2 linked regions of the Macaca fascicularis genome follow. The protein of the gene in region 1 purifies or fractionates together with the protein of each later gene. This does not show direct contact. Links are inferred from orthologs where the notes say so. Each region holds a gene or a part of one and is shown in the gene's direction. Other genes may lie near its edges. The genes, in order: PLN and ATP2A1.

Region 1 (16,873 bases):
CTTAAAGAGGGCTGTGTAACTGAAGCATAGAAGCCATTATGTTTTAGAGGTTCTCACCTGAAGCAATCAAGAACCTATCTTAAATGTTGATATTATCAAAGTCTCTAAATAAAAGCTCAGATCTACATTAAGGTAGGATTACCTCCCCTCATCCTTACAGCAGGAGCACTGATCAAAAAGCCACTTGATCTAAACTAAAAGTGCAATTTCTTTAGTTGCTTAGTTGGTACAGTCATGTCACTCAGGATGTTTACTAATTCAGAGTTTAATTCTCACCCCAAAAATGTGTATTTTTAGCTCATTTTCTCAAAGAAGTTTCTCTAATTATAAAGAAATGTAACTGACCAAATCTCAAAAATTATTACATTTCAAATACAAATCAAATTCATTCACGAGCCTGATCACCCTTATATGCACTAATGTTTAGGAATAACAAGCTTACAGAACCAACAGAAGAAGAATGAGAATTTATCAGATTTATTTACATAGATGGTAATCATAGTGTTGTTTTTTAAGGTTTATAATGGCAAAAATTATATCCCCTGATATGCAATAAGATAATCACAAATTATGGTGTATTTATACGCCAAACTCACATTTACATAGTAAAAATAAGTTATTAAAATTTGTAACATATATTTTTAATAAATAGCACATAAAAATACCCAAACATATTTAAAATTATTCTTCAATGAACAGGTGATGTTTTAGAGTTTTTTAATAGAGTTTTTGAAAGCTTAACATGCCTGAAAACAAGGACCTTTTTTTTTAACTGCATTCCTTACCTAACAAAGTGCCTGACAACCAGTAAACCAGTAGTTTAACTAAAGAAATGAATTAAAAACTGACTTTTTGTGAAATGTACATGTTTAATTATTTTAACAAAATTAGCTAACATTAATAGCTACTTTAAAAATAACATTTTTCAAGCTAGTTTAGTATAATCAGAACATTTAGGCTTCAAAGAGACTTTAGAAATTAATTCAATCTGCCATCCATTTATTTATGAGAAAACTACAGTACAGAAAGATTTATTTTCTGAAAATCATAGAGTAAGGTAGTGAGAGAGGACAAAAAAATGAGAATGACAGTTCCAATTCAACTCCTTATTAATATTCCTTGACCAACCTACAATCACTCCAGAAATCTCTTATGGTTAAACAAAACTATGGAAAGCCATTGTTTTGGACTGAGCCTTAATTGCCCACACAAAACCAGAATGGAGTCACTCTGGTTTGTTTTGAACTCAGTCTTAACAGACCAGACCAGACAAGAATGGAGCCACTCCTGCTGGGAGCCACATAATCAAACTGAACTTCAACATCAGCAAGTTTTCCAAAAACAACAGGATATTCACAGCAACCAATCAGAAAGGGCCCAATTTACCTGAATTAGCATGATAAAGAAGTCTGTTTTAACCTTATAAGTAACTTATAATAACCAATTCACTTTTTGTTCCTTCTTTCTTTAGCCTCTTTCTGCCTAGAAAGCCCACCTCCTCCACTTAGCTCATCTGATGGCCTATGATAGAGATACTGCCCAATTCATGAATCATTAATCAAAGCCAATTAGATAATTAGACTCAATTTGTTGAAATTTTGTTTTTTGATGTTACACACATGTCAAAGTGTGAACAAGTTAAAGAATTAAGTGAAAATATTAGAAAAATATTTTCAGAGGCAATCATTAGGGACAAAGAAAATTAGTTTATCTAAGTTTCTGAGGGCCTTTATTCTCTCTTCTTTCAACTTACCCTTTTTATGAGTTCACTTGTAATGGAAAAACAATATTCTAAATATTCGTTAACTATAAAAATATCTTATTGAGCCTTCTAAGGGATAAGCAGTGTGTAGAGCTTAGAAAAAATAAATCAGTCTCTATTCATGAAGTTTATGACAAAGAAAATAAATATACCTATATAATATAGAAAGTCCCCCTCCGACTTCAGATTTATCTGATTTTTCTGAATTATAAGAGATATTCACTTATTACTTATATAATTAGAAATTAAGAACAAGCAAAACAGGGCTTCTCCCCACCTAATTCTGAATAATGAAGGAGTTCCGTAAGAACAAGACAGTAAGGAAAATATTTCAGATAGAAGAAATAACATATAATGGCAGAGTTGTCAAATCGTTATGGGAGGCATACATGGCAATGGACAGATCAGGAAAGAGTTTTTTTTTGTAGTTCTGTAAAGAGTGGGTTTTTCATCTTGAAAGAGAAATCAATGAAAAGTTCTTAGCATATGAATGACAATCAGATGTGCACTTGGATATCAGAGTAAAAACTGAGTAGGAAAGGGTCATGACGGAGGGTAGAAAAACTAGTTAATAAACCTCTATGAAAGTTAAGAGGACAGTTGGTCAGGCTATGAGAACAAAGACTTATATTTCACAATTTGCATTTGGTTTCTAAGTGAATGGGGAGTCTGGTAAAACCCAGAAAAGGTATGAGCCTCCAATTTCAATTTTGTATCAAAATCAGTGATGGTGCCACCACAAAGTTTGCGAATGCGAGGAGCTCAAAGGGCTGAGATATCAACCACAAAGATAAGAAATTTAATGTGTCTGGAGAAACACTACAACCATTAAATTGAACTGGAACCTTCTTAACAATGTAACAGCATCATGATCTGGACTCTATAGAATTTTGAAGCAAGTATCTGGAGACCTAAGGGTTGGTTTTTGTTGTTAAATTTGTTTTGTGATGTATGTGTTTCCCTTTGTTATTTTTGGCTTTGGTTCTGTTTCCTTTGTACAAAACATACACTTCTCTTAGAAGTCATACTGCTTATTATTACACGTGCTCATTTGACTCTCAATTGGGAATTTCTTTTTCTCCTGGTGTTATCTTGCACTAGTGGTTACCGTCCACATGTTAAATTTTCATTTCCATATTACTTGTATACTGATAAACAACAATTTCCTTGAAGCCACGTAGCATGCTATAGCATTTCTATCACTTGGAATGTTTAATAACTTTCCAAAAATTATGTAGACCTATATGAGTCCTTTTCTTAATCCATCTGGCCCCTCTTGACTCTCTTCTCCACCCCTCATCAAGATAAGGAAAGAGAATTTGTCCAGAATTCAGATATTTATGAAAAAATTAAATGTTTGGGTCTCCAGATTATCTGGCAAATCAAGTGAAAAGTGAAACTAGCTCCCCAAAATGACCCCTAAGCTTTATAGGTTACTTTATCATTGGGTTGTATTCACAGCTCCCCACCCCAGTTAATGAGTAAATCTTATTTCCTCCTCCCTGTTGCCCTAGGAAGAGAATTTCCATCCTCTCAATCTCAGACCACTATTCTCATTTGCAGTTTTGCTTAGATGTTTTTTGAACCAGTCCTTCCCCCTACGTAGCTTAAAAATTTAAGATGGTAATTATCAAGCCCTCAAGTACCCTCAAGAGCTAGGTAAAATCTTCCTCCTGGGTGTCTAGGAGATCTAATCTAAAAAAACTCCTTATCTTTGATGTATTGTGGGCAACACAAAAATTGATTTGAAGCTTGCATTTTACTGTATATCTGTCTAAATATTAAAATGCTTTAATTTAGTCATCACTTAAATTAAGTTCTGGTCAAAAATTTCCAAAAAACTGTTCTATCTTGAAGCTTCTTTACCCTCCAGATACACCACTACAGACTGGAGTTTAAATACTCAACATAAAAGATTACTACGTACGTCACAGTGTCCTTTACAAAAAGTAACACAGCCGGGTGCGGTGGCTCACACCTGTAATCCCAGCACTTTGGGAGGCTGAGGTGGGCAGATCATTAGGTCAGGAGTTTGAGACCAGCCTGGGCAATATGGTGAAACCCCATCTCTACTAAAAATATAAAAATTAGCTGGGCACGGTGGCACATGCCTATAGTCTCAGCTACTTGGTAGGGTGAGGCAGGAGAATCGCTTGAACCCGAGAGGCGGAGGTTGCAGTGAGCCGAGATCACACCATTCACTCTAGGCTGAGTGACAGAGTGAGACTCTGCCTCAAAAAAAAAAAAAATTAGTAATACTTTTGAGGAATACATTTAAAATGCTACAAAACTATATAAAAACAAAAGTAAAGACATGAACCCAGGATTCAGTTAAAACTGAGGAAATACTAAATTCCATTTAGAGCTTAGTAAAAATAAATTTGTAATTATTTTCCCATCCAAGTTCAAAGACACTTTATCCTTAAGAATCCACCTTCCGCCGGGCGCGGTGGCTCAAGCCTGTAATCCCAGCACTTTGGGAGGCCGAGACGGGCGGATCACGAGGTCAGTAGATCGAGAGACGATCCCGGCTAACACGGTGAAACCCCGTCTCTACTAAAAAATACAAAAAAATAGCCAGGCGAGGTGGCGGGCGCCTGTAGTCCCAGCTACTCGGGAGGCTGAGGCAGGAGAATGGCGTAAACCCGGGAGGCAGAGCTTGCAGTGAGCTGAGATCCGGCCACTGCACTCCAGCCTGGGTGACAGAGCAAGACTCTGTCTCAAAAAAAAAAAAAAAAAAAAAAAAAAGAATCCACCTTCCAAAGGAAAAAAGAAAATAAGTACTAACACTAAATGAACACTGTTGCAGGATCTCTGATAATCACTATGTACACTTCGTGTCATTAAACCATCACAAATACTACTGCACAGATTAAGCTGCTTAAGGAAGTTATTTGTATAAAGTCATGTGACCAAAAATACATTCAAACTATAGTGACTCCAAATGAAGATTGCGACAAAGCACCTCAAAAAAAATTTCCAGCCTCTAGTTGAGGAATCATTGAGGAACAGTCTACTGATAACACTATAACTCATTAATACTCCTATTAAACAACTTTCTGTTTGGGCAATAAAAACAATGTTTAGTTAAAATGAAAATATAATACTTCCTAGAGTTCCACGTGGGATCACCATCATCGACATCTTCACTAGCTAACCCAAAGGAAAAAGGTAAACACAAAAACTCCCCACTCTTATACCAATATAAAAGTTAATTTTTTGAATCCATTTTCCAACTATGTCACACACAGTTGTTAGTATCCTTCTAAGGTGTATATATGCCTATGTATATTTTTTAAGTAAACTTGTAAACTCGTGGTAACTAGGGCATATTTTATTCAATCTATGGCAGCTTCTTGGTTTATCCAACTAAGTATTACTAATTCCATTTTCTTAGAATGAGAAGTTCTTAGAACAATGATCTATCACCTAAATTTCAAATGAATGTATAACTGGTAGACAAACATAAAGCAGACTTTCTAAAACTATTAACAGTGCTCAAGAATGCACCTATTTTCATCTCAAAAATTTCTTAGTTACTATAGGCTACTCTAATGAAAGCTATATTCAAATTATAATTTTTTCCCACAATATGCCAATAGATTAGGAATTATAAACAGACAGATCTGCATTTGAATCCTCAGTCTGTTCTTTAGCGGTTGGTTATCTCTGACAAATTACTGTAAACCTCTTTAGGTTTCTAGGTTTTATATTATCAATCATCATTGGTAACTGATGGTACTGAGAGATCCTCATTATGTAAGGATTGAAAGAAAAATGGTTGTAGCACTAAGAAAAGTAACAAACATTATTCATGCGATTTCCTTAACTTGGGTTTTACTTTTAAGTTGTAAATTTTCCCTTGGCAATGTTCACAGAGTATCTTTGCTAAAATATTATTTTTCACTTAGTTTTAAGCTGATTCTTTAAATAACAAATGATTTGCTCTAGAGATGGATTTTCTTTCTTTGGAAGAAGCCAAGATCATCTCCATTTAAGGGCACATAAGCAGCTGCTGCTACACATTTTAGTTACCCATAAGAAAGTGAAGTGGGCTAAGTTCACTCTGTCATAAGCATTTAAAAAATTAAAGATTACAAGTACCTCCTCTAAAATTAAAGAAGAGATTTAAGAATTAATATTTTCAAGTGTGGTGACTTAAGTAAATCTGACATGTAAGACAACAAATTAGATAAACAGAGGAGAATGATGCCCGGCTTTACAAAAAAATTATTTCCCCATTTCTACTGTAAGATAAACTGTTCTAGGAAGTTCAAAATATCCTCACTTACTAGTATCTCATTTGTATAGTAATTTTCAGGAAAGCACCTGCTAGATTAAATGAGGCACATCCTTTTAAAAACATTACAAAACTTAAATTTCAACACATCAAACCTATAAAGCCTCATTAACTGATATGTAACTGATTTGGAATCTGTAATTATTTCTTTTTTGCTATAAAGTTGCCCTTAATACTGCATCTGTTTATAAAAAATTTATTAAGATTGTGTAACAATTTAATGCAACTGTTTAAAAAAATCTTAAATACTTAAAAGTAGCATATTGTTATTTTGGGGGGGATTATATGTATCAGTTTAAATATAAGAATTACCATTCACAAATATATTGTTAAACTGCTAATTGAAGAAAACACAAATGAATTAAATACATTTATTAGTTCTTTAACTGTAAGATAAAAATCATTTTTTAAAACAAAAAGCAGTTACTAGCCTGATTTCCTCATACACACTCCTTCTTCCATACACACAACAAAATAAGAAAATAGGTATAAAATTTGATTGTGTAAAAATATTTCACTATTGTCTTGTTGAAAGCTAACATTATGAAGACGTGGTATTAAAGCAACAGCAGCAAGAATTCAATGAAAGTTGTTTTGCTTATACTTGTGTTTATTTTTCTCATAATTAAAATTCCTGTAGTAACTATTTTGGCTCTTCAACATCTTCACCATTAATATTCAATTATCTCTAAGCCTGAAGATGCATGAATCTTTAACAAAAGCTTTCTACCACCTCAAATTTACTTTGTTTTTTCATTTATCTGCCATATACTGTTTTAAATTAGAAACAAAAGATGAAGCACAAAGTGTTAATGACTTTTCCATACCTAAAGTAAGAAGTTCTAAAGTTTGGTTGTGCTGAGACTAAGACTATGGCTAACCAATCGAAACTTCAGAATTCCTATGTGACATCATAAGACCTCCCTAGAACACTTTTTCTCCTCCACCTACTGCAACTGTTCCCATAAACCGGGTGACAGAGTCAGAAAACTCCCCAGCTAAATACCCATAAGACTTCATACAACACAATACTCTATATTGTGATGATCACAGCAGCCAAGGTAAGAAACAGATTTCACTGACTTTGGTAATTCTTACTTTCTGTAATTCTTTAATTCCTATAATTTCTATAATCTGAACTTTTAAGATAAGTTACTTTTATTAATATCAGTTCAAACTTAAGCAATAAAATGACATGACAAAGTGCTTAAATTTATAAATGCTTATCCATTTAGTGACAGTAAAAATGAGACAACTTTGAAATGAAAAAGGTCATATTCATCTTTGATCCTGGTTATTTGTTTGTCATTTTAATTTAACTTTCACTTTTATTTTGCTTTTCAAATGTGAATTTCTGCCAATTAAAAAAATCTTCCAATTATGTTACCATATTTGGCAGCAGTGGTTTAATTTCTCCACACAAAAACAATGACTTAATTTTGTTATTTATTGCTCTGCTGAGAAACAGTGCAGAACTGAGTTATTTACATTTGAACTAATATGAATAGTCATTTGACTACAAACATGCATATTATCAGCATGCCTACTGCAATATCATCATAATTTCATACAGTGAATAATAATGAAATGGAGCTTAAGAATATATAATACAAGCTACTTTTAAAGTGCCCTTGAGGATGTTTCCCCTCTAAAGTCCAGTCACCTTTTAAGAAACATTTCTAAAAATTCCATGCTGTTAATAAATTGAGTTACTGATATTAAATTCAATATTGTATCATAAAGAAGTTTAGAAATTTTAAAACACTTTTCACAAACACACAAAAATCTGTTAGAGAATAGACACTTTAAAAAGTTATTTTGACACATGAATATTCTTAAGTATCTTATTTTCACACAAATTTGATTAAATGGATTTCTGCCTATTAATGCCTATAATTTTGTCAAGTTATTATCCTCCAGTGTTACTCCATTTCCTCTCTGAGATTTAGAAAGACAGGAGAAAATAAAATAAATGCCAGGAATGGAGATGCCACAATCAATTTTATGACTTCCGTTTGAATTCTACCCTATTCTTTAAGTTACAATCCTCAATTTAGTAAATGAAACGTTTCCTCATTCTCAGATCTCTGTCAGGGCTTACAGAAAATTACATATATTTTATTTATTTTAACTTTCATATTTTATATATATGTTAAAATTTACCTCTAAAATTCTCAATTCCCATGACAAATGTTAACTCTCTTGCTCACTACAAATACGAACTTTGTAATTCTGTAAGCGGTTTTCCTTAAGACATACAAAAACATAATTTTTGTCTACCATTGAGGTATCCTAATTGCATCTCCATATCTCTATACTCATAATTTTCCTTTGCTATTACACAAAAGTCATTCAGTGTAGGTGTCTTATATGCTTATTTGTGCATTTTTATTCAAATATCAAATTACATTCTCACACTTCAAATTGGGTGTTCATGAGTTATTTTATTGTATCAGAATTTCGCTTTATCACATATTGCTCTAAAAAGTACACAACCTCTGGATAGAGCAGAAATTCTATTAAAGTTACCCTTAGCTCACTAGTATGTCTCAGTTAACAGAAATTCCAGTTACAGAGACCGTTAAAATTTCAAACATAATGTGGTAGTACCATACATTATGTCCCAAATAGTTCATCTATACCTTAAGTTGCCAGTTAAGTATTGTCTTTGTTTATGAAGACATGTGGTTTAAAAATAAGTGCTTAAAAAAGTGTTAGATGAAATAAATGGGAAAAATATAAAATGTTTAAATTAAGAAGTGTTAAGTTTTATAAACACATGAAAGAGTCAGAGTACATGCTTTACTAAAAGGCGTGACAGCACTATCATTTCCCAAAATCAAATATCAAATCTATTTTATTTGTATTTTAGTAGGCATAAAGGAAAATAATCGCATTTGGGTATATAATCATATCTTTAATTAGCGAGATTAAGAAACAATAAGAAAATATTGCATAAACACAATGGTTTCAGAAAATTTTAATGTATTTTAATGTTTTAATGTACTAATTACACATGTAATACTAAATTATGTAATATATTAAATTTTTAATTTAAAAACAAATTTTAAAGTCTAGTTACCTCTCTAAATTAGACAATATATTACCAATCCCAGAAATGAGGGGGGCCAATTAAAACTTCTTCTTAAAGAACAATTTCCTAATGTACTGGTGTACACAAATATTTTATTTGGTCCTCTTAATTATATATTTGATACTGCATCCCTATTCTACAATTTAGGAACGATGCAAAAAGGTGAACTGCTCAAGATCACATAACTAAGAAAACAGGGAAACCTTAGCAGAAGTTTAGGTTTTGTCACTAAGCCACATGCACATCCTCTATATATTGACCAGCATGGCTTGAAGTAAATTGTGACACTGATAAACCAAATTTGAAAGCCCCCAAACACTGTAAATGATACTCTAAAAGGCAAATTCAGAGAATACAAACTTCTATTTTAATTTAAAACCATTCCATTTCACTTAAATTCAATTTGTACATCAGGCATTACATTCTTAATAGCCTAAATTATATTCTACTGATCATTTTCAAAACCAGAAATATACGAACATTACAGATGTCCTTAGTTGTTAAGCAAAATAACTGCAGTTAGATAAAATTCAAACTAACTGCACAGACTTCAAAAAACCGTAACATATCCCAATCAATCAAAGTTTCCTTTTATTTGTTTCATTGCTAAAATACTCATGCCTTCAATTCATCTGATACCTAAAATCCAAGTTAATATCTCCTCAAAACTTTCACAAAAACCACATTTCGATACTTTATTCTAGGTTCCCTTTTAAATCCTCAGTCCTCAGCATTCCTCAGTTTTATTTCTGAATTACCCCTCCCCATACTCTACCATTTTAAATATCCAAAACTATTTGTTTTGACATGTTTAATCAATCTTGCTTTGTTATTTGCTACAAAAATCCCTAACTTTCATCAAAACTGTGAATTAACAAAGAAATGATCATACTAGCAAAGTAAACCTAAAGGTAGAAAAATCAAGAAAATAATCCTTCTAAATTACAGTGGCATAAATTAGATAAGATGTAGTCTCTTTGTATATTTGCAGAAATAGCACATCAAAGTTCTTACCCAGAATAATTCTGAAGCATGTGTTACCAAATAAACACATGAAAATGAAGCCTGGATGTACAGCATACTCATAGTCAACTGAGGACCTCTAGTGCCTTTGAAAAGGTACTCCATCTTTAGTTTTCAACCCCCATCCCCTGCTCCCCCCGCAAAAAAAAGGTTGACCAATACACTCACATTAATAGGGGGTACATTTATTAAGTGACATTCATTTCTCCTTAAGCCTTTCTCAATACTACCCCCCCATATTCTCTTCCCCCCAAAAAGATTCTGAAGTTCCAACTCCTACAGGGTTAAGAAGAGTATTTTACTTGTAAATAAACTTGTAAAGCATTGTTTCAATATTTAAAAAACAATAATGAAGGCAAACCTACAGACACTGTAGCAATAGCAATAAGCTAAATTGTCAATTTCAGAGAGAAAAATCTCTCTGTGCTGTTGTTTAATGAATTCTCCTCAAGACTTAACATGAGGAGCACTTCATTACGGGTCAATTTAGGAGTGAGAATATATTGATTTTTATGCATATACAATTATTTTCATAACCAGACAGAAGCAGCTTGAAGATTCTTTCAAACGGCCAGTCTGGACCAACAAAGCTCTGGAATGTTGCTACCACAAAGTAACTTCAAACAGAATGTCCAAGTTTAGTATTAGGCAATCTCAAAAGGAAAATGACTCCACTGGAGTGAACTTTTGTAAGCCAACAGATTCATCATAAATCTAATGATGAACTGTCCTAATTTATTACCACAAGTCCAAAAAAGGGTGTATACACGTTCACTTATCGTTTACCTGTGGAAATGTCAGAAAGTAGTAGAAAAATAAAATAAAATTCCAAATAATCCAAATATAGACAAGCCCTGTTCATTCAAATTCAATCTATAGAAAATTCTAATCTTCTAAACCAAACAGATGGAAAAAACATCCTAGAGTATATCAGACTGTAGCCTTAGATATTACTTGAATTCAATTTAATAAAGTATTGCTTCAATAATCCCATGTTTAGTAAAAGAATAAACAAAAATAAAAGGAGAAAAGCAAAATTCTAAATTCTACAAATATAAAGAATCCCAGGAATTTATTATTTCAGCAAAAGGCATATCACCAAAAATGCTGAAGTTTGAGAAGTTCCGCAAGCACTGAACATGCTTAAAGTATAGGTGGGGATTAATGCTCAGCATATACAACATCATTAAAGCATCAATTGTCTAGCAAGTCATAAAGCAGGCCACCAAAAGTTTTCAGAAGACTATTGAGGTTCCTTCCGCACAAGAATGCATTTGATATTATATTGCTACAACAGGACTCACTGCAGACAAAGTAAGGACTCCTGAAGGAGTTGATATATAGTACCTTCCACCAAACATGCTGCCTAACATGGTATACAACATTAGTCAAAAGATTAGAGTTGCCTAATGGCTTTTCTATTTCCTTCTTCCACCCAAAAAAAAAACAAAAACAAAAAACCATACTATCTTGAACTTGATTGTTTTTTTAAATTTCCGGTGTCACTTTTCTTGAGGAAAAGAAAACAATCAAAGGATTTATAAATCCCACAAAGAATAGTTCTTTATTTTTATTCTTCTCATTCTCCTAAAAAGTAGAGTAATCATGGATCCACAGACATAAGATACTCTGTGGATACTTTTCTGCCTCTGACATGCAACTCAAGAGACAGGAGTCTGGCATTTCTACACCCAAACTCCTAACAAGCACCTTTCATGTTTTCAATACTCTTGATTCTAGGGCCTACAAGATAAATTGATTTTAAAATTCATCTATAAGTGAATACCACTCTTGTGTCAAAACAACCAATTTATATGTGTGTATGTGTCTGTGTATATATATATATATAGTCATTCTTTTAATAAGAGGATGGAGAGTAACTTCAGTTTCCATGGTTGTTTAGGCCAGACACAAGTTCAGAAAATCCCAAAACTATTTATGATTAGACTAATAGAATGCTCTAAAAAGATCAGATAACATGAAAATAAAACTAAACTATTTTTCTATGCTTTCCATCAAAAATTATTAAACAGCTTGGCTGTTAAGAAATTTATTTTTTTTTAAAAAAAAAAAGGAAACTCATACGGTGGTTGTCAGTGCAGAGAAGAGAATGATAAACATCTGACAACCATGAATTATAATGTAGTAAAGGTCACAGACAACTCTAAAAATAGGATTATGCTGTTCCCACACAAAGGTTTTCAATTCTCAACATATGACAGGAAACCCCATCTTCTATGGACAAAATCTGGCCTAATTATCATCATACAAATGTTGGTATTCAATAGAACTAGGATTCCACACATTTCAGATTATACCACTGTAAAAAATTGAGCCCAATAAATTAAATGTGTATCATTAACATTTTAGCATGTAAAGCAGATTTGTTTTCAGTTTAGGCATAAAATTATAAAGCAGTTACAAATAACTTTAGGATTACAGCATATTTCTAAATCTGACAAGAAACAGGATACTATTTTTGGTCATCTCCTTTATACCCAATTTGTTTCCAGAAACCAACTCTTGTTTTTCAATAACAGTTAGCTGTTGTAGGATTATAAGATCATCTTTAAAGTATGTTAATTATGCTTTAAACAGCAGAGAGCTCATCTCTTTCAGGCACATCTTTGTATTTCACAAATACTAAAAACCCATTTATACAAAGTCTAGTTCAGGTTAATATTATGTTAATCAGGTGACCATTAATTTAGGTGAATCCTCTAAGCCTCATTTTTCTCATCTGTGATAGAAAGAGGCTTGAGGAGAATATTAGAGCTTACATGTTCAACTAACAAATTGTTATTAGAACTAATCTGCCAATCACAGCATTATTTTTAAAATTTTTTAACTTATTATTAAAAATGAGGGCCAGGCATGGTGATTCACACTTGTAATCCCAGGAATTACTTGAGCTCAGGAGTTTGAGACCAGCCTGGGCAGCGCAGTGAAACCCTGTCTCTACCAAAAATACAAAAATTAGCCAGGCATGGTGGTGCCCATCTGTGGTTCCAGCTACTCAGGAGGCTAAAGCAGGGAGATCACTAGAGCCTGGGAAGTTGAGGTGCAGTGAGCCATGATTGCACAACTGCATTCTAGCCAGGGTGACAGAGCAAGACCCTGTCGTTCATTCATCCATTCATAAAAATAATTAATTAAAAATGAGATGGGGTCTCATTTTGTTGCCCAAGCTGGTCTTGAACTCCTGGGCTCAAACGTTCCCTCCGCCTAGGCCTCCCAAGTGTTGGAATTATAGATGTGAGCCACCGTGACCTGCCCACAGCATTATTTTTTATTTACAATTTTCTAATAGTTTTAGTCATAAAAATCCCTTATTTAACTTTAATGATTTATTGAAACATACCAATTATGCACTAAGTACTAGGATACTAAATGAACACATGGTTTCTTTACTTCGGAAACTATCAAGTCTAGTTGGGGATACAAACATGTAAACTGAAATTGTGCTATAATCTGATAGATATCCTCATATAGATAACACTAAAGCCCTATTAAAAACCAGTAGAGGTGACAACCAATTCCACCCTAATAACTAATGAAAGGTTTCATCAGGAAGTGATATTTAAACTGAACCTTAACAATCAACTGAAGCTTGCCTGGCAGAGAATCAAAAGGTGGAGGACGCATTCCAGGCAGAGATAGAACAACATGTGCAAAGAATAAAATCACAAAAGCGAATGGAGTATTTATGGAAAGGTGACATGTTTCATGTGACTGAAGTACAACTTATCAGTGTCAAGGTAGGGGATGACTCCTGTATATATGCTTAATGATAAACTCCTGGCCAACTCCCTCCTTTCCCATGTTTTGCCTCAAAGTAATTTTTTAAATTTCTGACCTTTTAAGACCAGCTAAGCCCAAAAACCTCACAAAACCATATATTCAAATAGGAATTACCAAGGCTAATTATTATTCCTTTCTTCTCTGTATTATGCTACGTATCTTCATAAAAGGTGACTACTCAGCCAGGCGCAGTGGCTCACGCCTGTAATCCCAGAACTTTGGGAGGCCTAGGCGGGCCGATCACAAGGTCAGGAGATCGAGACCATCCTGGCTAACACGGTGAAACCCAGTTTCTACTAAAAATACAAAAAAATTAGCCAGCCATGGTGGCAGGCACCTGTAGACCCAGCTACTTGGGAGGCTAAGGCAGGAGAATGGCATGAACCCAGGAGGTGGAGCTTGCAGTGAGCCAAGATCACGCCACTTCACTCCAGCCTGGGCAACAGAACGAGACTCTGTCTCAAAAAAATAAATAAATAAATAAAATCTTCCCGTAATTCTCCAATCCACTAGATCTATAATAATCAACTATCAACAGAAACAACTTAAAGGATGAATCTTAATAAAGAACGAAAGAAAATCTATTTCTATTTTACCTGAAGAATTCAAACAAACATCATTAAATATACGTCAAGTTTAAGCTGCTGTTTTCCTTTTTTTTAACTTTTAAGTTTGGGGGTATGTGTGACGGTTTGTTACATAGGTAAGCACACATCATGGGGGTTTGTGTGTATTATTTCATCACTCCGGTATTAAGCCCAGTACCCAACAGTTATCTTTTCTGCTCCTCTCCCTCCTCCCATCCTCCCCGCTCAAGCAGACCCCAGCATCTGTTGTTTCCTTCTTTGTGTTCATAAGTTCTTATCATCTCACTCCCACTTAAAAGTGAGAACATGTGGTATCTGGTTTTCTTTTCCTGTGTTAGTTTGCTAGGGATAATGACCTCCAGCTTCATTCATGTTCCCGCAGAAGACATGATGTCCTTCTTTTTTATGGCTGCACAGTATTGCACGGTGTATATGACCACATTTCCACTCTGTCACTGATGGGCACTTAGGCCGATTCATGTCTTTGCTATTGTGAATAGTGCTGCAATGAACATCCATACGTGTATGTTTTTATGGCAGAAAGATTTATACTCCTCTGGATATATACCCAGTAACGGGATTGTTGGGTCAAATGGCAGTTCTGTTTTTATAAGCTGCTGTTTTCTAAGTAGAATTGTTACAGACAACCTAAATAACAGCCGTTAGCCACCGTTTAGACAATGAAGAATACATGCTAGAAAAACACAGGTTGTTAATAACTCTTTAAGGAAAGAAAATTTGATAGAAGTTGGCTTTTTGGAACTCCTTGCTACAGACCAATATTATGAAGGAGGACAGAGTCTCAAGCCAAAAAAGGCCCAGTCTACTATATAATTCAGAATATAATAGAGCCAAGTTGAACTATTGAACACTACAGAATCTAAACACCATAAACCATACGGTTTCTCTGTAAAAGTAAATGTTGGGTTCTAACTGGTCAGGCCTGATACCTACCTTCCCCTTTGCCATTCTTTCAGTACTTCCTTCTGTTCCCTTCAGCACTTTCCTCTCTCAGGAATGGGCTAACAGGTTGAGAGAGGCTTTTATGAGATGTATAAAAAGACTTAGGAGAAAATAAAATCTGACAGTTGGGGTAAGGTAGTAATATGTTGATTAACAATAATATATCAACAAATGTTAACAGTCACTATGTCTGGCAATTAATTATAACTTTTTTACTCTATTTTTTATTTTTCTTATTTCAAAATTGATGCAGAAGTATCCTGATTGAAAACAAAATGTCCCCCAAGTGTTAATAACCATTATCTCTGGACAGTTAATACAGTTAATTTTCAGTCTATATATAATTTTTCTGTAATAGCATGTAAGTTCTTATTTGTTTTATTAATCATCAAAGTATAGACCCCACAGGCAGCAATAGCTTGTGGTATCTCTGAAAGAAGGCATGATGGAAACTACTGCTATTAAGTAGAGGTCTGTAAATAGAAAATGTCTGTGGTAGATGGTGAGATAATAATAATTACTACACATTCCAAGCTTGATAGTCTTCAGTACTTAAAATCAAATCTTATTAAAATGTTAGTTAAGATAACATTCTATAAAGCTATAAAATCATAAAAAGGAATGACAATTTCAATCCACATTTTTGGTAAAACACTTCCCATTTAACACTATTTTATTTTGGATTAAAATCAAGATCCAGGGAACAATTTGTTGTATGCATTTCCTTTTTATGAGATTGGCTCTGGAGCTATTAATACAGTAACTGATCAAACCAATTACATCTACAGTGTAACAGATTTAAAGAAACTGTATGTGAGAACTTTTACCCAAAAGAATAACCCAAAACGAGCTGTACCTTAAACCAAATACAGCAGGTCCTCAAATAACATCATTTCCTTCTATGTCATTTTGTTATAACATTTAAGTATGTGTGCAGCTTGAATGTTCTCTCCATATCTGTGGGACTCTCGTTTCCTCCCATATCCCAAAACTGTGCACATTAGGTTCACTGGCGTGTTTAAGTTGTCCTGGGTTGAGTGTGAGTGTGTACATGAGTGTATCCTGTGATGGAGTGGTCTCCTATCCAAGGTGGGTTCCTCCCTCCTTGACTGCTGGGATTGGCTCCAGCCACCAGCACCCCAAACCAGAATAAGAGGGTTGAAAAATGAATGAACGGATGAATACAAATTATTATCAAATAAAAACTGGTAAAGTCTAGGGTGATCATACAAATGCATGACAATAAATGCTATGGCACAAAAGCACTCAGAGATCCCACTGTATTTCTCAAACATTGATTCCATGTTTTTAATTGACCACCACAATCACTGTTACTCACTGAT
Region 2 (16,172 bases), on another chromosome or scaffold:
ACCCTCTTACCTGTTTTCAGCTGTAGGTGACAGTTTCCTCAACACACACACACCCCTGCCCGTGTTGGGTTTTGTTGCCTCCCCTGTGCCAGGAGCCACAACTCCATAACCCTGCCTCCTGTGCATAACCATGCCTCCTCCACCCTGTCTCCTCAGGAGCGGAACGCAGAGAATGCCATCGAGGCCCTGAAGGAGTATGAGCCAGAGATGGGGAAGGTCTACCGGGCTGACCGCAAGGCAGTGCAAAGGATCAAGGCTCGGGACATCGTCCCCGGGGACATCGTGGAGGTGGCTGGTGAGTGACAGGGACGGCTGGTCCAGGATGCGAAGCTTTGGGACTGAGGCCTAGGAGACGCTGGGGGCTGGTCAGGCTCAGATCCCAGTGTCCAGGAGGATGGCGGAGTCTGCTTCTCCTTCCGACTCCTCAGAAGGTCATCCCAGGCCACTCCGGCCACGGCCCCCCTTCACCAGCAGAGTCTCAGCAGGAACAGCCAGTCCTGTCCCTGAGGCTGCAGGCAGACCCCCTGCTCTCCATCCTCTCACCCTGCACTCGCACTTGCAGGCAACAGGTGGAACTCGGTCCCTGCCAACGGCCCCGTCTCCACCCCCTCCCGGGGCCTGGCTTCCCCCTCCTTCCACCCACCCCAAGCTTGGTCAGCTTTCAGTCTTGACCTCTCCGTGCCCTTGAGGCCTCTCAAAGGGGAAGGAGCGAGGGCAGAAGGGAGGAGGGAGGCCGAAGGCTCGAGCCCCCGGCCATGTAAGGGAAACTCAGGCCCTGCACGGAGCACGGGACTGGGGAGGAGGGAGCTCAAGGAGGGCCCCGCCCGAGGCAAGGGACACTTAATGCCTGGCCAGGGAGGGGTGGGGGCTGGGTGGCTAAGATTACTGGGATTCTGCCCCCTTCAGCGGTTTTTATATTTGCCCTGAGCAGGCCTTCCCGAAGCTCCAGGCCCCTGCCAGGGGGAATGGCTCTTCTGAGGCCTCCTTCCCTGTAGCAGACACCCGAGTCACCACCCCAGGGAGCCTGGGGAGAGGGAGTGAGGGCAGGCCGAAGACCCCGGCACCCCATTACCGCCGTGACAGCATGGAGTCAGCGCCATGAATGTCTATAAATATCACACGGGCTTGGGTGACAGAGCGTCCCGCCTGACTCCATCCCGACCTCCCTCCTCCCTCCTGGGTCCATTTCCTCTGGCACAGGAGGGGGCCTTAGAAACAGAGGGAAAGGAAAGCGATTGGATCCGGTCCCCAGTACCATCCGTGGGACCAGTGTGGAATTAGGCAGCAGCCCTGGGAGGTTCTTAGGCTCCTCCTAAGGTCTCTGAGTCTGGCTGGGCATCCACCTCTCCAGCCGCCCCCAAGGTGGTTTCCATGTGTCTGTCAACCCACCTGTGCATCTCCCCGGCCTCACCTCCACCCATTCACTCTCCAGCCTGTGCTGCCGGCCCTGCTCCTCCACACCTGTTTCCTGCTCACCCCCCCGCTTCTCTCTCGCCCCATCCGTCCTGTCTTGTCCATGTTCCCAGCTTACTTTCCCCAGCTCCTCACCTCCCTGCCTCCCTGAGATGCTCAGACCCAGCTGTCAGGTTCCTGATATGTGGTCCCCTCCATTACCACCCTTCGCCCCCTGCTGCCTTGAGTCCTGCCCACTCATACCTTCCGCTCACTCCTCTCCTGCCTTGCCCTCCACTGTTCTCTTGGTTGCCCTCGATTTTCTCAATTTCCATATTTTCCCGTTTCTCCTTGCCTTCCCTGGCTGTCCGCTTCATTCTCTCACCCCAATACCCCTTCTCTCTAACACACCCTGTTTTCCCTGAGTTCTTTCCTTGCCTTTCCTCGTTGTCTTTCTCACTCCTGTCTCCCATTCTCAATTCTAGCTTCTTGTCCTACAGCTGGACTGTCCTTAATTTCGCCTCTAGTCATTCAGTGGGCATTTATTTAGCATGTATTATGTGCTGAGCAGTATGCCTGCCCATCCCTTCTCAGGGCTCACAGCCAGTGGGAAGAGATGTGGGAATTCAAGACCAACCTGAGAACAGAATGAGACTCCAGCTCGCCATGGACACGGGGGCAGAAGGGATGGGTGTCACGATGGGTGGTTGCCAGCTTCAGGAGCTCATGCCAAGGGCCTGATGCAAGCCCTGGGAGCCTCCCTGAGACCTGAAGGATGGATGAGGAGAATGAGTCAGACACAGATTGGGTTTTTCTTAGGAAGGAAGAAAATTCCATTCCCAAGTGACCTCCCTCTTCCCTACTCTCTCCACAGTGGGAGACAAAGTCCCTGCAGACATCCGAATCCTCGCCATCAAATCCACCACCCTGCGGGTTGACCAGTCCATCCTGACAGGTCTGCTGGCCTGGGTGGGAAGATGCTTGGGGGTGGGATGTGGGAAGGAAGAGGCAACAAGGGGGAGGTGAGTGGAAAGACAGAGAACCCTCACTGTCTGAGCAACATAGAGAGACCCTGTCTCTAAAAAAATTTTTAAAAATTAGCTGGGCATGTTGTTGAGTGCCTATAGTCCTGACTACTCAGGATGCTGAGGCGGGAGGATCACCTGGGTACAGGAGGTCAAGGCTGCAGTGAGCTGTGATCACACCACTGCACTCCTTTCTGGGCAACCCTGTCTCTATCAAAATACAAACAAAAGGCTGGGCAAAGTGGCTCATGCCTGTAATCCCAGCACTTTGGGAGGCCAAGGTGGGTGGATCACCTGAGGTCAGGAGTTAGAGACCAGCCTGGCCAACATGGTGAAACCCTGTCTCTACCAAAAAATACAAAAATTAGCCAGGCATGGTGGCAGGCACCTGTAGTCCCAGCTACTCAGGAGGCTGATGCAGTAGAATGGCATGAACCCAGGAGGCTGAGGCTGCAGTGAGCCAAGATCATGTCACTGCACTCCAGCCTGGGCAACAAGAGCAAGACCCCATCTCAAAAAAAAAAAAAAAAAGCAAAAGCCAAAAAAAAAAAACCAGCACTGGGGCCTCCCCCTGGCTCACTAGCAGTGGCTGTGGCAGTGGCAGCACTGTTTGACATGTTTTCTTTTTTTTTTTTTTGAGATAGAGTCTTTTTTTTTTTGAGATGGAGTCTTGCTCTGTCACCCAGGCTGGAGGGCAGCGGCGCAGTTTCGGCTCACTGCAACCTCTGCCTCCCGGATTCAAGCAATTCCCTGCTTCAGCCTCTGGAGTAGCTGGGATTACAGGCGTCCACCATCACACTCAGCTAATTTTTGTATTTTTAGTAGAGACAGGGTTTTACCATCTTGGCCAGGCTGGTCTTGAACTCCTGACCTCGTGATCTACCTGCCTCAGCCTCCCAAAGTGCTGGGATTACAGGTGTGAGCCACCCACTGCGCCCAGCCTGCTTGATGTTTCCATCTGTCCCAAGCCTGAAATGGGATGAGTAGTGGGAGAAGGCTGGACGCTGTTGCCCACTCTCTAGATAGCCGCGAGCCTACCCCTTGCACATGGACATAGGGTCACACACACCTCGAGAACTGTCCTGTCTCCTTCAGCCTCCTAAAAAATCCTCCAGGGAGGAGACATGAGATTCTATGACAAGATAGGGGGTTCAGATACACTGAAACCATGGCTGCTAGGCAGGGTGTGGTGGCTCATACCTGTAATCCCAGTGCTTTGGGAGGCTGAGGCAGGAGAATTACTTGAGGTCAGGAGTTTGAGACCAGCCTGGGCAACACAGCGAGACCCCATCTCTATAAAAAAATTTTGGCCGGGCGCGGTGGCTCAAGCCTGTAATCCCAGCACTTTGGGAGGCCGAGACGGGCGGATCACGAGGTCAGGAGATTGAGACCATCCTGGCTAACACGGTGAAACCCCGTCTCTACTAAAAAATACAAAAAACTGGCTGGGCGAGGTGGCGGGTGCCTGTAGTCCCAGCTACTCGGGAGGCTGAGGCAGGAGAATGGTCTAAACCCGGGAGGCGGAGCTTGCAGTGAGCTGAGATCCGGCCACTGCACCCCAGCCTGGGCGACAGAGCAAGACTCTGTCTCAAAAAAAAAAAAAAAAAAAATTTTTAAACTTAGCTGGGTGTGGTGATGTGCACCTGTAGTCCCAGCTACTTGGGAGGCTGAGGTGGGAGGATTGCCTAAGCCCAGAAGCTTGAGGCCACAGTGAGCTATGATTACCACAGCAGTCCAGCATGGACAACAGAGCAAGACCCCATCTCTATAAATTTTTTTCTTTAATTAGTTGGGCATTGTACTGCACACCTGTAGTCCCAGTTGTTTGGGAGGCTGAGGTGGGAGGATCACTTGAGCCCAAGAGTTTGAGGTTGTAGTGAGTTATGATCACACCACTGCATTCTAGCCTGGGCAACAGAGCAAGACCCTGTCTCTATAAAACCACCATAGCTGCTTCTGTTTCTGCACTGGCAGGGAGAAGCGAAGAGGAGGCAGAAAACATTCCCCATGGTCCCAGGGGTCAAGGGCTAGGCTGGCCCAGGCCTGCTGCTGAGTCCCTGCTCTTAGGGTGAGGGAGGCATGGTTCTAAGGGTGGGTCCCCCTTCCTCCCAGAAACATGCTTGACAGTTGAAAGTGTGGTTCCAAATATGTCCACTTATTTGATTTTTACCCAATATATTGTTTTGCAGTGTACATGTCCTTGTCCCCATTTTTACAGAGGAGCACATGGAAGTTAGGTGATCAGTCACACAGCTTGTTAGTGGTCAAGCCGGGCTCGGGTCTTTTTTTTTTTTTTTTTTTTTTTGAGATGGAGTCTTGCTCTGTCGCCCAGGCTGGAGTGCAGTGGCCGGATCTCAGCTCACTGCAAGCTCCGCCTCCGGGGTTTACGCCATTCTCCTGCCTTAGCCTCCCAAGTAGCTGGGACTACAGGCGCCTGCCACCCCGCCCGGCTAGTTTTTTGTATTTTTTAGTAGAGACGGGGTTTCACCGTGTTAGCCAGGATGGTCTCGATCTCCTGACCTCGTGATCCACCCATCTCGGCCTCCCAAAGTGCTGGCATTACAGGCTTGAGCCACCGCGCCCGGCTCAAGGTCTTTTTAAGAGCAGTAGACTTCTGGCCGGGCACGGTGACCTGTAATCCCAGCACTTTGGGAGGCTGAGGTGGGCAGATCACTTGAGGTCAGGAGTTCGAGACCAGCCTGGCCAACATGGTGAGACCCCGTCTCTACTAAAAATACAAAAAAAAATTAGGCAAGTGTGATGGCATGTGCCTGTAATCCCAGCTACTTGGGAGGCTGAGGCAGGAGAATTGCCTGAACCTGGGAGGCAGAGGTTGCAGTGAGCTGAGATCTTGACACTGCACTCCAGCCTGGGTAACAAAATCGAAACTCTGTCTCAAAAAAAAAAAAAAAAAGGAGCAATGGACTTCCTAGCTGCCTTCAGTGGCTTCTTCCAGAGTCCAGACATCCCCCAGGATGGCTACTTGGTCCTTACCAGGAGCTGTCCTGCTGAGCAGGGAGTTAGGCGTGGGAAGCCTGGGAGAAGGACATGATGTCATCTGAAAACCCCTTGGCCCCTTCTCCACAGGCGAGTCTGTATCTGTCATCAAGCACACGGAGCCCGTTCCTGACCCCCGAGCTGTCAACCAGGACAAGAAGAACATGCTTTTCTCGGTGAGCAATCTGGGACCAGCTGTCACACGCTTAGTCAAGCCAGGTGCCCGGGTTGGAGAGAAACATGGCGGTGTGAGAAGAGATGGTGTGGGGGAATGCGGCATGAAGGTCACCTCTTTCCTGATTCCCTGCCTTCTCTTTCCCTTCCCAGGGCACCAACATTGCAGCTGGCAAGGCCTTGGGCATTGTGGCCACCACCGGCGTGGGCACTGAGATTGGGAAGATCCGAGACCAAATGGCTGCCACAGAACAGGACAAGACCCCTTTGCAGCAGAAGCTGGATGAGTTTGGGGAGCAGCTCTCCAAGGTCATCTCCCTCATCTGTGTGGCTGTCTGGCTCATCAACATTGGCCACTTCAACGACCCTGTCCATGGGGGCTCCTGGATCCGTGGGGCCATCTACTACTTTAAGATTGCTGTGGCCTTGGCTGTGGCTGCCATCCCCGAAGGTACGAAAGCCTTTCTTTTCTCCTCCCATTTGCAATCCCATCTGCAAAGACTCCTTTTCTTTCTTTCTTTCTTTTTTTTATTTTTTTCTTTTTTGTTTTTTGAGACAGAGTCTTGCTCTGTCACTCAGGCTGGAGTGCAGTGGTGTGATCTCGGCTCACTGTAAGCTCCGCCTCCCGGGTTCATGCCATTCTCCTGCCTCAGCCTCCCCAGCAGCTGGGACTACAGGCACACGCCACCACGCCTGGCTAATTTTTTTGTATTTTTAGTAGAGACGGGGTTTCACTGCGTTAGCCCGGATGGTCTCAATCTCCTGACCTCGTGATCTGCCCGCCTCAGCCTCCCAAAGTGCTGGGATTACAGGCGTGAGCCACTGTGCCCGGCCTTTTTTTTTTTTTTTTTTTGAGACCGAGTCTCTCACTGTCACCCAGGCTAGAGTGCAGTGGCACAATCTCGGCTCAGTGCAACCTCTTCCTCCTGGGTTCAAGTGATTCTCCTGCCTCTGCCTCCCAAGTAGCTGGGATTACAGGTGCACGCCACCAGGCCCGGCTAATTTTTGTGTTTTCAGCAGAGACGAGGTTTCACCATGTTGGCCAGGCTGGTCTCGAACTCTGGGCTCAAGCAATCCACCTGCCTTGGCCTCCCAAAGTGCTGGGGTTACAGGCATGAGCCACCACGCCCGGCCCAAAGACCCCTTTTCCAAGTAAGGTAACATTTACAGGCTCCAGGGATTAGGATCTGGTATCTTTAGGGACCATTATTGTTTGTTTGTTTGTTTGTTTGTTTGTTTAATAGAGACAAGGTCTCACTCTTGTTGCCCAGGCTGGAGCATGGTATCACAATCATAACTCACTGTAATCTCAAACTCCTGGATTCAAACAATCCTCTTGTTCCAGCCTCCCAGGTAGCTGGTACCATAGGCAATCACCACCATGCCCAGCTAATTTTTAAATCTTATCAGAGGAGTCTCGCTGTGTTGCCCAGGTTGGTCTCAAACTCCTGACCTCAAGTGATCCTCCCACCTCAGCCTCCCAAAGTGCTAGGATTACAGGTGTGCACCAATAGTAGCTGGGGGCTACTATTTAGCAGACTACAGACCACACCCTCCCTCCCCTTGCAGGTTCCCTCACGCCCTCCCTCCCTCCCCACAGGTCTTCCTGCAGTCATCACCACCTGCCTGGCCCTGGGTACCCGCCGGATGGCAAAGAAGAATGCCATTGTAAGGAGCTTGCCCTCCGTAGAGACCCTGGGCTGCACCTCTGTCATCTGTTCCGACAAGACAGGCACCCTCACCACCAACCAGATGTCTGTCTGCAAGGTCAGAAGCAGTGTGGGCAGCGCACTCAGTCAGAAGGCTGCCTGTGGGGGTAAAATGGGCCCTCCAAAGATAGAGGTCTCCCTTCATCACTGCTGGCTTCTCATCTGGGCCTGCAAAATGCTCAAAGGGCAGTAGAACACCATCCTGTCTGCCATGAAGGGGATCAGAGAGGACCCTTGTGTCCCAGCCAGACAGCTCACTCTGACAACCATCCATGCACCAGGCACTGCCACACATTGTCTCTCATCCCCCACAATAGCCCATTCAGAGGACGGTCTCATTAACTTCATTTTTTTTAATTAAAGAAAATTATTATGATTTTGAGACAGAGTCTCACTCTGTCACCCAGGCTGGAGTGCAGTGGTGTGATCTTGGCTCACTGCAACCTCTGCCTCCTGGGTTCAAGCGATTCACCTGCCTCAGCCTCCCTAGTAGCTGGGACTACAGGTGCCTGCCACCATGCCCGGCTAATTTTTTTGCATTTTCAATAGAGACAGGATTTGCCATGTTGGCCAGGCTGGTCCTAAACTCCTGGCCTCAAGTGTTGTGCCCCCGTTGGCTTCCCAAAGTACTGGGATTATAGGTGTGAGCCACAGCACCCAGCCTAACTTCCTTTTTTAGAAGAGAAAAAGGCTCAGAGATTACATGACTTCCCCCAAGATGCACAGTTAAAAAGTAACAGAGTTGAGTTTCAAACTCAAGTCTGTGTGGCCCCAAAGCTTCTGCCTGTGAAGTGGATGGCTCTCCTGAATGGTCACTCATGACAGGGCCCGCCCAGCCTGCCAACACTGACCGTGAACAGCATTTCCTAAAGCGTGGCCCTTAATCTTTTCTGTGCCTCACACCCCTTTGCAGTTGAGCTCTTCTCAGGATAATATTTCAAATGCATATTAATAAAATAAAACAGGCCAGGCGCAATGGCTTACGCCTATAATCCCAACACTTTGGGAGGCCAAGGTGGGCAGATCACGAGGTCAGGAGTTCGAGATGAGCCTGGCCAACATGGTGAAACCCCATCTATACTAAAAATACAAAAAGTAGCTGGGCATGGTGGTGTGTGCCTGTAATCCCAGCTACTGGGGAGGCTGAGGCAGGAAAATCTCTTGAACCCAGGAGGCAGAGGTTTCAGTGAGCCGAGATCACTCCACTGCACTCCAGCCTGGGTGACAGAGTAAGACTCTGTCTTAAATAATAAAATGAAATGCAAAGAAATAAAATAAAATAAAATAAAACAGGCTGGGGGTGGTGGCTCACGCCTGTAATCTCTTTGGGAGGCCAAGGTGGGAGGATGGGGATCACTTGAGCCCCGAAGTTCGAGACCAGCCTAAGCAACATAGTGAGAGTCCATCTCTACCAAAAAAAAAAAAAAAAAAAAAATAGCCCGATGTGGTGGTGCGCACTTGTAGTCCTAGCTACTCAGGTGGCTGAGGCAGGAGAATCACTTCAACCCAGAGGATTGCTTGAGCCAGGAGGTCAAAGCTACAGTGAGCAGTGATCACACCACTGTACTCCAGCCTGCACAACAGAGCGAGACCCTCACACACATAAAAAAATAAAATAAAATAGGGCCAGGTACAGTGGCTCATGCCTGTAATCCTAGCACTTAGGGAGGCTGAGGCAGAAGGATCGTTTGAGCCCAGGAGTTTTAGACTAGCTTGGGCAACACAGTGAGACCACATCTTCTTAAAGATAAAATAGAAAATTAAAAAATAAATAAACAACACAGGATTCTGGGTTTTTTTGTTTTTGTTTTTGTTTTGATGGAGTCTCACTCTGTTACCCAGGCTGGAGTGCAGTGGCACAATCTCGGCTCACTGCAACCTCCACCTCCCAGGTTCAAGCAATTCTCCTTCCTCAGCCTCCCAAGTAGCTGGGACTGTGGGCACATGCCACCACGCCCAGCTAATTTTTGTATTTCTAGTAGAGACGGGGTTTCGCCATGTTGACCAGGCTGGTCTCTAACTCCTGACCTCAAGTGATCTGCCTGCCTCGGCCTCCCAAAGTGCTGGTTTACAGGAGTGAGCCACTGCGTCTGGCCAGGATTCTGTTTTAAAAAGATATAGGAGGCAGGGCACTGTAGCTCACGCCTGTAATCCCAGCACTTTGGGAGGCAGAGGCAGGCGGATCACAAGATCAGGAGATCGAGAACATCCTGGCTAACAAGGTGAAACCCCGTCTCTACTAAAAATACAAACAATTAGCTGGGCATGGTGGCAGGTGCCTGTAGTCCCAGGTACTCGGGAGGCTGAGGCAGGAGAATGGCGTGAACCTGGGAGGTGGAGCTTGCAGTGAGCCGAGATTGTGCCACCGCACTCCAGCCTGGGCAACAGAGCAAGACTCCATCTAAAAAAAATAATAATAATACATAGGAAGCCAGGCACAGTGGCTCACGCCTGTAATCCCAGTACTTTGGGAGGCCAAGGTAGGTGGATCACCTGAGGTCAGAATTTCGAGAATAGCTTGTCCAACATGGCAAAACCCCGTCTCTACTGAAAATACAAAAATTAGCTGGGTGTGTTGGTGGATGCTTGTAGTCCAGCTACTAAGGAGGCTGAGGCAGGAGAATCGCTTGAACCCAGGAGGTGGAGGTTACAGTGAGCTGAGATCACGCCATTGCACCCCAGCCTGGGCAACAAAAGCAAAACTCCATCTCAAAAAAAAATAAAAAAGCCTAGGCACAGTGACTCACGCCTGTAATCCCAGCACTTTGGGAGGCCGAGGTGAGCAGATCACCTGAGGTCAGGAGTTCGAGACTAGCCTGACCAATATGGAGAAACCCTGTCTCTATAAAATACAAAATTAGCTGGGCGTGGTGGCACATGCCTGTAGTACCAGCTACTTGGGAGGCTGAGGCAGGAGAATCACTTGAACCTGGGAGGTAGAGGCGGTGAGCCGAGATTGTGCCATTGCACTCTAGCCTGGGCAACAAGAGCAAAACTCTGTCTCAAAAAAAAAAAAAAAAGTAGCCAGATGCGGTGGCTCACACCTGTAATCCTAGCACTTTGGGAGGCCAAGGCAGACGGATTACCTGAGGTCAGTTTGGTCAACATGGTGAAACCCCGTCTCTACTAAAAATACAAAAAATTAGCCGGGCATGGTGGTGGGCACCTGTAATCCCAGCTACTTGGGAGGCTGAGGCAGGAGAATTGCTTGAACCCAGGAGGCGGAGGTTGCGGTGAGCTGAGATCGCACCATTGCACTCCAGCCTGGGCAACAGAGAGAGACTTTGTCTCAAATAATAATAATAATTAAAAAATGAAAATAACAAAGTAAAAAATATAAAAATACATATGAAAAATACATAGGGTTACAGAGGAAATCAATGATTGTGAAATATAGTTCTATCAAAATATTTTAAAAACAACTTTGTAATTTGGCAACATACATGCTTCTTTATTAAGGCATTAAATAGGGAGTTCTCGCAGTGGGTCTAAGCACTATCATAATGTTGAAGCAGTGGTGAGCATAAATTATGCTATTTTGAGAGATCTGCAACAGCGGTAATGTGATAGGAGGAAAGTATCTGTGATTAAATTGGTGACAGTCACAGGTTTTGCTAATACTAATGTGGTCTGTTGACAACATGCATAACTGGAAGGAAATGTCAAATGTCAGCGTGAGAACAAGAAAAGCTGTCATTTTTTTCTTGGCTGTCTCAGTTCTTGGGCTCCTTGAGGGGTCTTCCACTGACCTCAGGCCAAGAACCCCTGCCCTACACAGAGTTTTGTGGAAGACTACACCCATGAACTAGAAATTGCTGTTCTGAGAAGCAAGGGCTGTGTGGTCAGATCAGGGCGAGAAAGGCTGTAACCCTGGCTCCTGGGAGAGCCCCGTAACGCCTGCTGGTATTTGAAAGCCTTAGAGGAGGCTGACTGTGTAAAGAAGACGGATTCTGCTTTGTTTAACCCAGAGGTTCCCAAGTTTTTTCTGACCACAGAACTTTTTTGTCTTGGAACCCATCTTAACAATCTCTCTTCTCGGGAATGAAAAGCCCAGTCTCTGTTGCGTTTGCCCAGGGTTCAGGGTAGGCCACTCCTCCTGGGCACTGCGTTCTCCACATCCCTCTAACGCACAGGCCACAAAGCCAGACCACAGACTCGTGTGACTCGGCTCCTGTCATGTTTCATAAAAATGAATGAATTCTCACACCTGTAATCCCAGCACTTTGGGAGGCCAAGGTGAGTGGATCACTTGAGGTCAGGAGTTCGGGACCAGCCTGGCCAACATGGCGAAATTCTGTCTCTACTAAAAATACAAAAATTAACTGGGTGTGGTGGTGCTTGCCTGTACTCCCAACTGCTCTGGAGGCTGAGGCAGGAGAATCACTTGAACCCGGGAGGCGGTGGTTGCGGTGAGCCGAGATTGCACCAGCATGGTCAGCAAGAGTGAAACTGCATCTCAAGAAAAAAAAAAAGAATTGCCCATATTTTTGAAAGTCAAGAGGCTGGGCATGGTGGTTGCCTGTCTGTACTCCCAGCATCATGGTGGGTACCTGTACTCCCAGCACTTTGGGAGGCCAAGGCAGGAAGATCACTTGAGCCCAGGAGTTCAAAACCAGCCTGGGCAACATAGTGAGACCAAATTTCTTTTTTTTTTTTTTTTTTGAGACGGAGTCTGGCTCTGTCGCTCAGGCTGGAGTGCAGTGGCCAGATCTCCGCTCACTGCAAGCTCCGCCTCCCGGGTTCGCGCAATTCTCCTGCCTCAGCCTCCCGAGCAGCTGGGACTACAGGCGCCCGCCACCTCGCCTGGCTTATTTTTTTTTTTTTTTTTGTATTTTTAGTAGAGATGGGGTTTCACCGTGTTAGCCAGGATGGTCTCGATCTCCTGACCTCGTGATCCGCCCGTCTCGGCCTCCCAAAGTGCTGGGATTACAGGCTTGAGCCACCGTGCCCGGCCGTGAGACCAAATTTCTACCAAAAAAAAAAAAAAAAAAGAAAAGAGAGAGCGAGAGAGACAGGCATGGTGGCATGTGCCTGTGGCCCCAACTACTTGGGTAGGCTGAGGTGGGAGGATCACTTGAGCCTGGGAGGTCGAGGCTGCAATGAGCTATGATCACACCACTGTATTCTAGCCTGGGCAACAGAGCAAGAACCTGTCTCAAAAAAAAAAAAAAAAAAAAAAAGAAGAAAGAAAGAAAAAGTCAAGAGATTTCACAGGAAGATAACCTGAATTTCTAGCTCTTCCTGCAAAACTGGAAGATCTGGCCACGTGCAGCTGGAGCTATAGACGGTCCAGGTGCCAATAGGTCGGCCGTTTTCCACAGTCCCTACCACACCTTATTGTGTTCCATCTTATTTTATTAACTGATCTACAGAAGCTCCAGCATAGCTTGCAGTCACTCTTGTTTGTGTGTGTGCGTGTGTTTTATTTATTTATTTATTTTTTTGAGAGTTTGGCTCTTGTTGCCAGGCTGGAGTACAATGGCACGATCCTGGCTCACTGTAACCTCTGCCTCCCAGCTTCAAGCGATTCTCCTGCTTCAGCCTCCAGAGTAGCTGGGATTACAGGCGCGTGCCACCATGCCTGGCTAATTTTTGTATTTTTAGTAGAGACAGGGTTTCACCATGTTGGCCAGGATGGTCTTGAACTCCTGCCAGGTGATCCACCTGCCTCAGCCTCCTAAAGTGCTGTGATTACAGGTGTGAGCCACCTCGCCCAGCCTCAGTAACGATTGTTTTATGGCTTTGATGGAGAATGATTGCAACAGCTTGGTGGGAAGTGGGTAGGGTATATGGGGGGTGGGGGACAGGGAGGGGTGAGTAGGAGGGTGGGAGGGTAGGTGTTGGCAGCACAGGCCTCCTTTGATGCAGGCGCCCACCTCGGGATGGGGAGAGGTGGACATCTGTGTGCCTGCCCTTCTCCCCTGCAGATGTTTATCATTGATAAGGTGGATGGGGACATCTGCCTCCTGAATGAGTTCTCCATCACCGGCTCCACTTACGCTCCAGAGGGAGAGGTGTAAGTCACCCAGGCAACTTCTCCCCAGCTCCTCACGCCCCTCCCCACACCCCCTTTCTCCCTGGGACCCTCCATGTGGTTTTGCTTTCCTTTCACTCTCCCCTTCCTCCCTGACCTTGTTCTCTCCTGATATCCAAGTTGGCTCTCCCTACTGTCCTTCCTGACCCTCGGCTGCCTGCTCTTCCTGTGCCCTCTCTGCATCTCATTCCCTGTTCTTCTCCACTGTCTCTGTCCCTTCCTCCTCCGACCCTGCTGCCAGCTTGAAGAATGATAAGCCAGTCCGGCCAGGGCAGTATGACGGGCTGGTGGAGCTGGCCACCATCTGTGCCCTCTGCAATGACTCCTCCTTGGACTTCAACGAGGTAACCTCTCCTTCCCCTTCCAGTTGGCTCAGAGTCTGAGCCTCCTCTGAAGGCCAGGAGGAAAGGGTTGGAGGAAGGGGACCCAGTACACCCAGTCCTCTGCCAGCGTGCAAGGGAGGCAGTGGCTTGCTTCCTTCTTACGCTAGGTGGAAGGTGGGTGTGACAGGTGGGAGCCTGGGGCACCTACTTCCTCTTCCTCCTCTGCCCATCTCAGGCCAAAGGTGTCTATGAGAAGGTTGGCGAGGCCACCGAGACAGCACTCACCACCCTGGTGGAGAAGATGAATGTATTCAACACAGATGTGAGAAGCCTCTCGAAGGTGGAGAGAGCCAACGCCTGCAACTCGGTGAGCCTGCAGAGCCCCTGCCACAGGGCCATCTCCACTCTATGCTGCACAGACCAGAGGAAGGCAGAGGCCCTGGTTGGACTGGGTAGAGCCTAGTGCCTGTGCTGGGACCCCACCCAGGCAGTGGACGGCCCCCCACAGCTTCTCCGCAGGCTGATGTGGGTGGGACCCATTGTCCCTGGTGCTGCCTGGCAGCTATGCCCTTGATGGATCTATGATCACTTCTGCCTGCTGTGTCCTGAGTTGAAGTGGACAAAGCTGGACACGGAAACTACAAGGGACCCATCCAGGAGCAGCCCCAACTTCATCTGTTATCCCTTTGTTTCTAGAAGCACACTTGCTTTCAGCAGATCATGAGTCCTGACTTAGGATTTAGGAAATGTGGCTGCTGCACCTACAGGGAAAGCCTTTCCTTGCCCAGATGAACTCAGCCACTTCTGGGACTGTCACTCCCAGTTATTGCTATTGATACTTGCTGAACGTCTCCATTAAGCACCTCTCTCTGGTGAATTATATTCCCCACGTTTCTCTCTTTTTTTGTATATACAAAATGCTCATTGCTACTTTATTTAATATAACAAAAAAGCAGGTGAGACACAGAGACTCACGCCTGTAGTTCCAGCGTTCTGGGAGGCTGAGGTGGGAGGATCACTTGACCCCAGGAGTTCAAGACCGGCCTAGGCAACACAGTGAGACCCCATCTCTACAAATAAAAAAAAAAAAAAAGGGCCAGGCGTGGTGGCTCACGCCTGTAATCCCAGCACTTTGGGAGGCCGAGGCGGGCAGATCACGAGGTCAGGAGATTGAGACCATCCTGGCTAACACGGTGAAACCCCGTGTCTACTAAAAATACAAAAATTATCTGGGCATGGTGTCAGGTGCCTGCAGTCCCAGCTACTCGGGAGGCTGAGGCAGGAGAATGGCGTGAACCCGGGAGGCGGAGCTTGCAGTGAGCTGAGATTGTGCCCCTGCGCTCCAGCCTGGGCAACAAAGTGAGACTCCGTCTCAAAAAAAAAAAAAGATAGAAAAATATTAGTTGGGTGTGGTGGTACAAAACTGTCCTCTAGCTACTAGGAAGGCTAAGGTGCGAGGACTGCTTGAGCCTAGGAGGTCAAGGCTATAGTGAGCAGTGATTGCACCACTGCACTGCAGCCTGGGCAACAGAGGGAGACCCTGTCTTAAAAATAAACAAACAAACTGAAAGCAACTTAAATACCTATCAATAGAGGATTAATTTTAAAAATTTATAAATTATAATGCAAACATAAATTTTTATTTATTTATTTTTGAGATGGGGTCTTGGCCTGTCGCCCAGGCTGGAGTGCAATGGCTATTCATAGGTGCGATCATAGCGCACTGTGGCCTTTAACTCCTGGCCTCAAGTGGTCCTCCTGCCTCAGCCTTTCAAGTAGATGAAGCTATAGGCATGCACCACTTCTCCTGGCTATTGATTTTCTGTTCCTTTTATTTTTGTTTTGTTTTTTGGAGAAGTATCCATGATACATTTGGTGAAAAAGGCTTTCATTCTTTTTGTTTGTCTGTTTTGAGACAGTCTTGCTCTGTCACCCCATTCTGGAGTACAGTGGCACGATCTCAGCTCACCACAACCTCCGCCTCCCGGGTTCAAGCAATTTTCCCGCCTCAGCCTCCCTAGTAGCTGGAATTACAGATGCAAGCCACCACGCCCAGCTAACTTTTTGTATTTTAGTAGAGATGAGGTTATTTTTTTTGAGACAGAGTCTTTCTCCTTTGCCCAGGCCGAAGTGCAGTAGAGCGATCTCGGCTCACTGCAACTTCCGCCTCCCAGGTTCAAGCAATTCTCTTGCCTCAGCCTCCTGAGTAGCTAGAATTACAGGCATGCACCACCACACCCAATTAGTTTTTGTATTTTTAGTAGAGATGGGGTTTCACCATGTTGGTCAGGCTGGTCTCGAACTCTTGACCTCGTGATCCTCCTGCCTCAGCCTCCCAAAGTGCTGGAATTACAGGCGTGAGCCACTGCACCTGGCCTTCATTTTTTTTTTTTTTTTTTTTTTTGAGACAGAGTTTCGCTGTTGTTGCCCAGGCTGGAGTGCAATGGTGTGATCTCTGCTCACCGAAACCTCCGCCTCCCAGGTTCAAGTGATTCTCCTGCCTCAGCCTCCCGAGTAG

The links.
Region 2: the proteins of PLN (region 1) and ATP2A1 purify together in Homo sapiens (affinity purification with western blotting, with the first as the bait; 3 studies listed by BioGRID). This does not show direct contact. The link is inferred for Macaca fascicularis from reciprocal best matches to the Homo sapiens genes PLN and ATP2A1.

The regions. Positions count from the first base shown.
Region 1 is NC_088378.1:22,479,191-22,496,063, forward strand, and holds the start of PLN (phospholamban), read left to right. Parts: upstream 1-7,026; 5' UTR 7,027-7,123; intron 7,124-16,873. UniProt on the Homo sapiens protein: Reversibly inhibits the activity of ATP2A2/SERCA2 in cardiac sarcoplasmic reticulum by decreasing the apparent affinity of the ATPase for Ca(2+).
Region 2 is NC_088394.1:27,574,753-27,590,924, reverse strand, and holds part of ATP2A1 (sarcoplasmic/endoplasmic reticulum calcium ATPase 1), read left to right. Parts: intron 1-156; coding exon 157-295; intron 296-2,266; coding exon 2,267-2,347; intron 2,348-5,504; coding exon 5,505-5,590; intron 5,591-5,741; coding exon 5,742-6,039; intron 6,040-7,188; coding exon 7,189-7,355; intron 7,356-13,224; coding exon 13,225-13,313; intron 13,314-13,572; coding exon 13,573-13,675; intron 13,676-13,889; coding exon 13,890-14,021; intron 14,022-16,172. UniProt on the Homo sapiens protein: Key regulator of striated muscle performance by acting as the major Ca(2+) ATPase responsible for the reuptake of cytosolic Ca(2+) into the sarcoplasmic reticulum.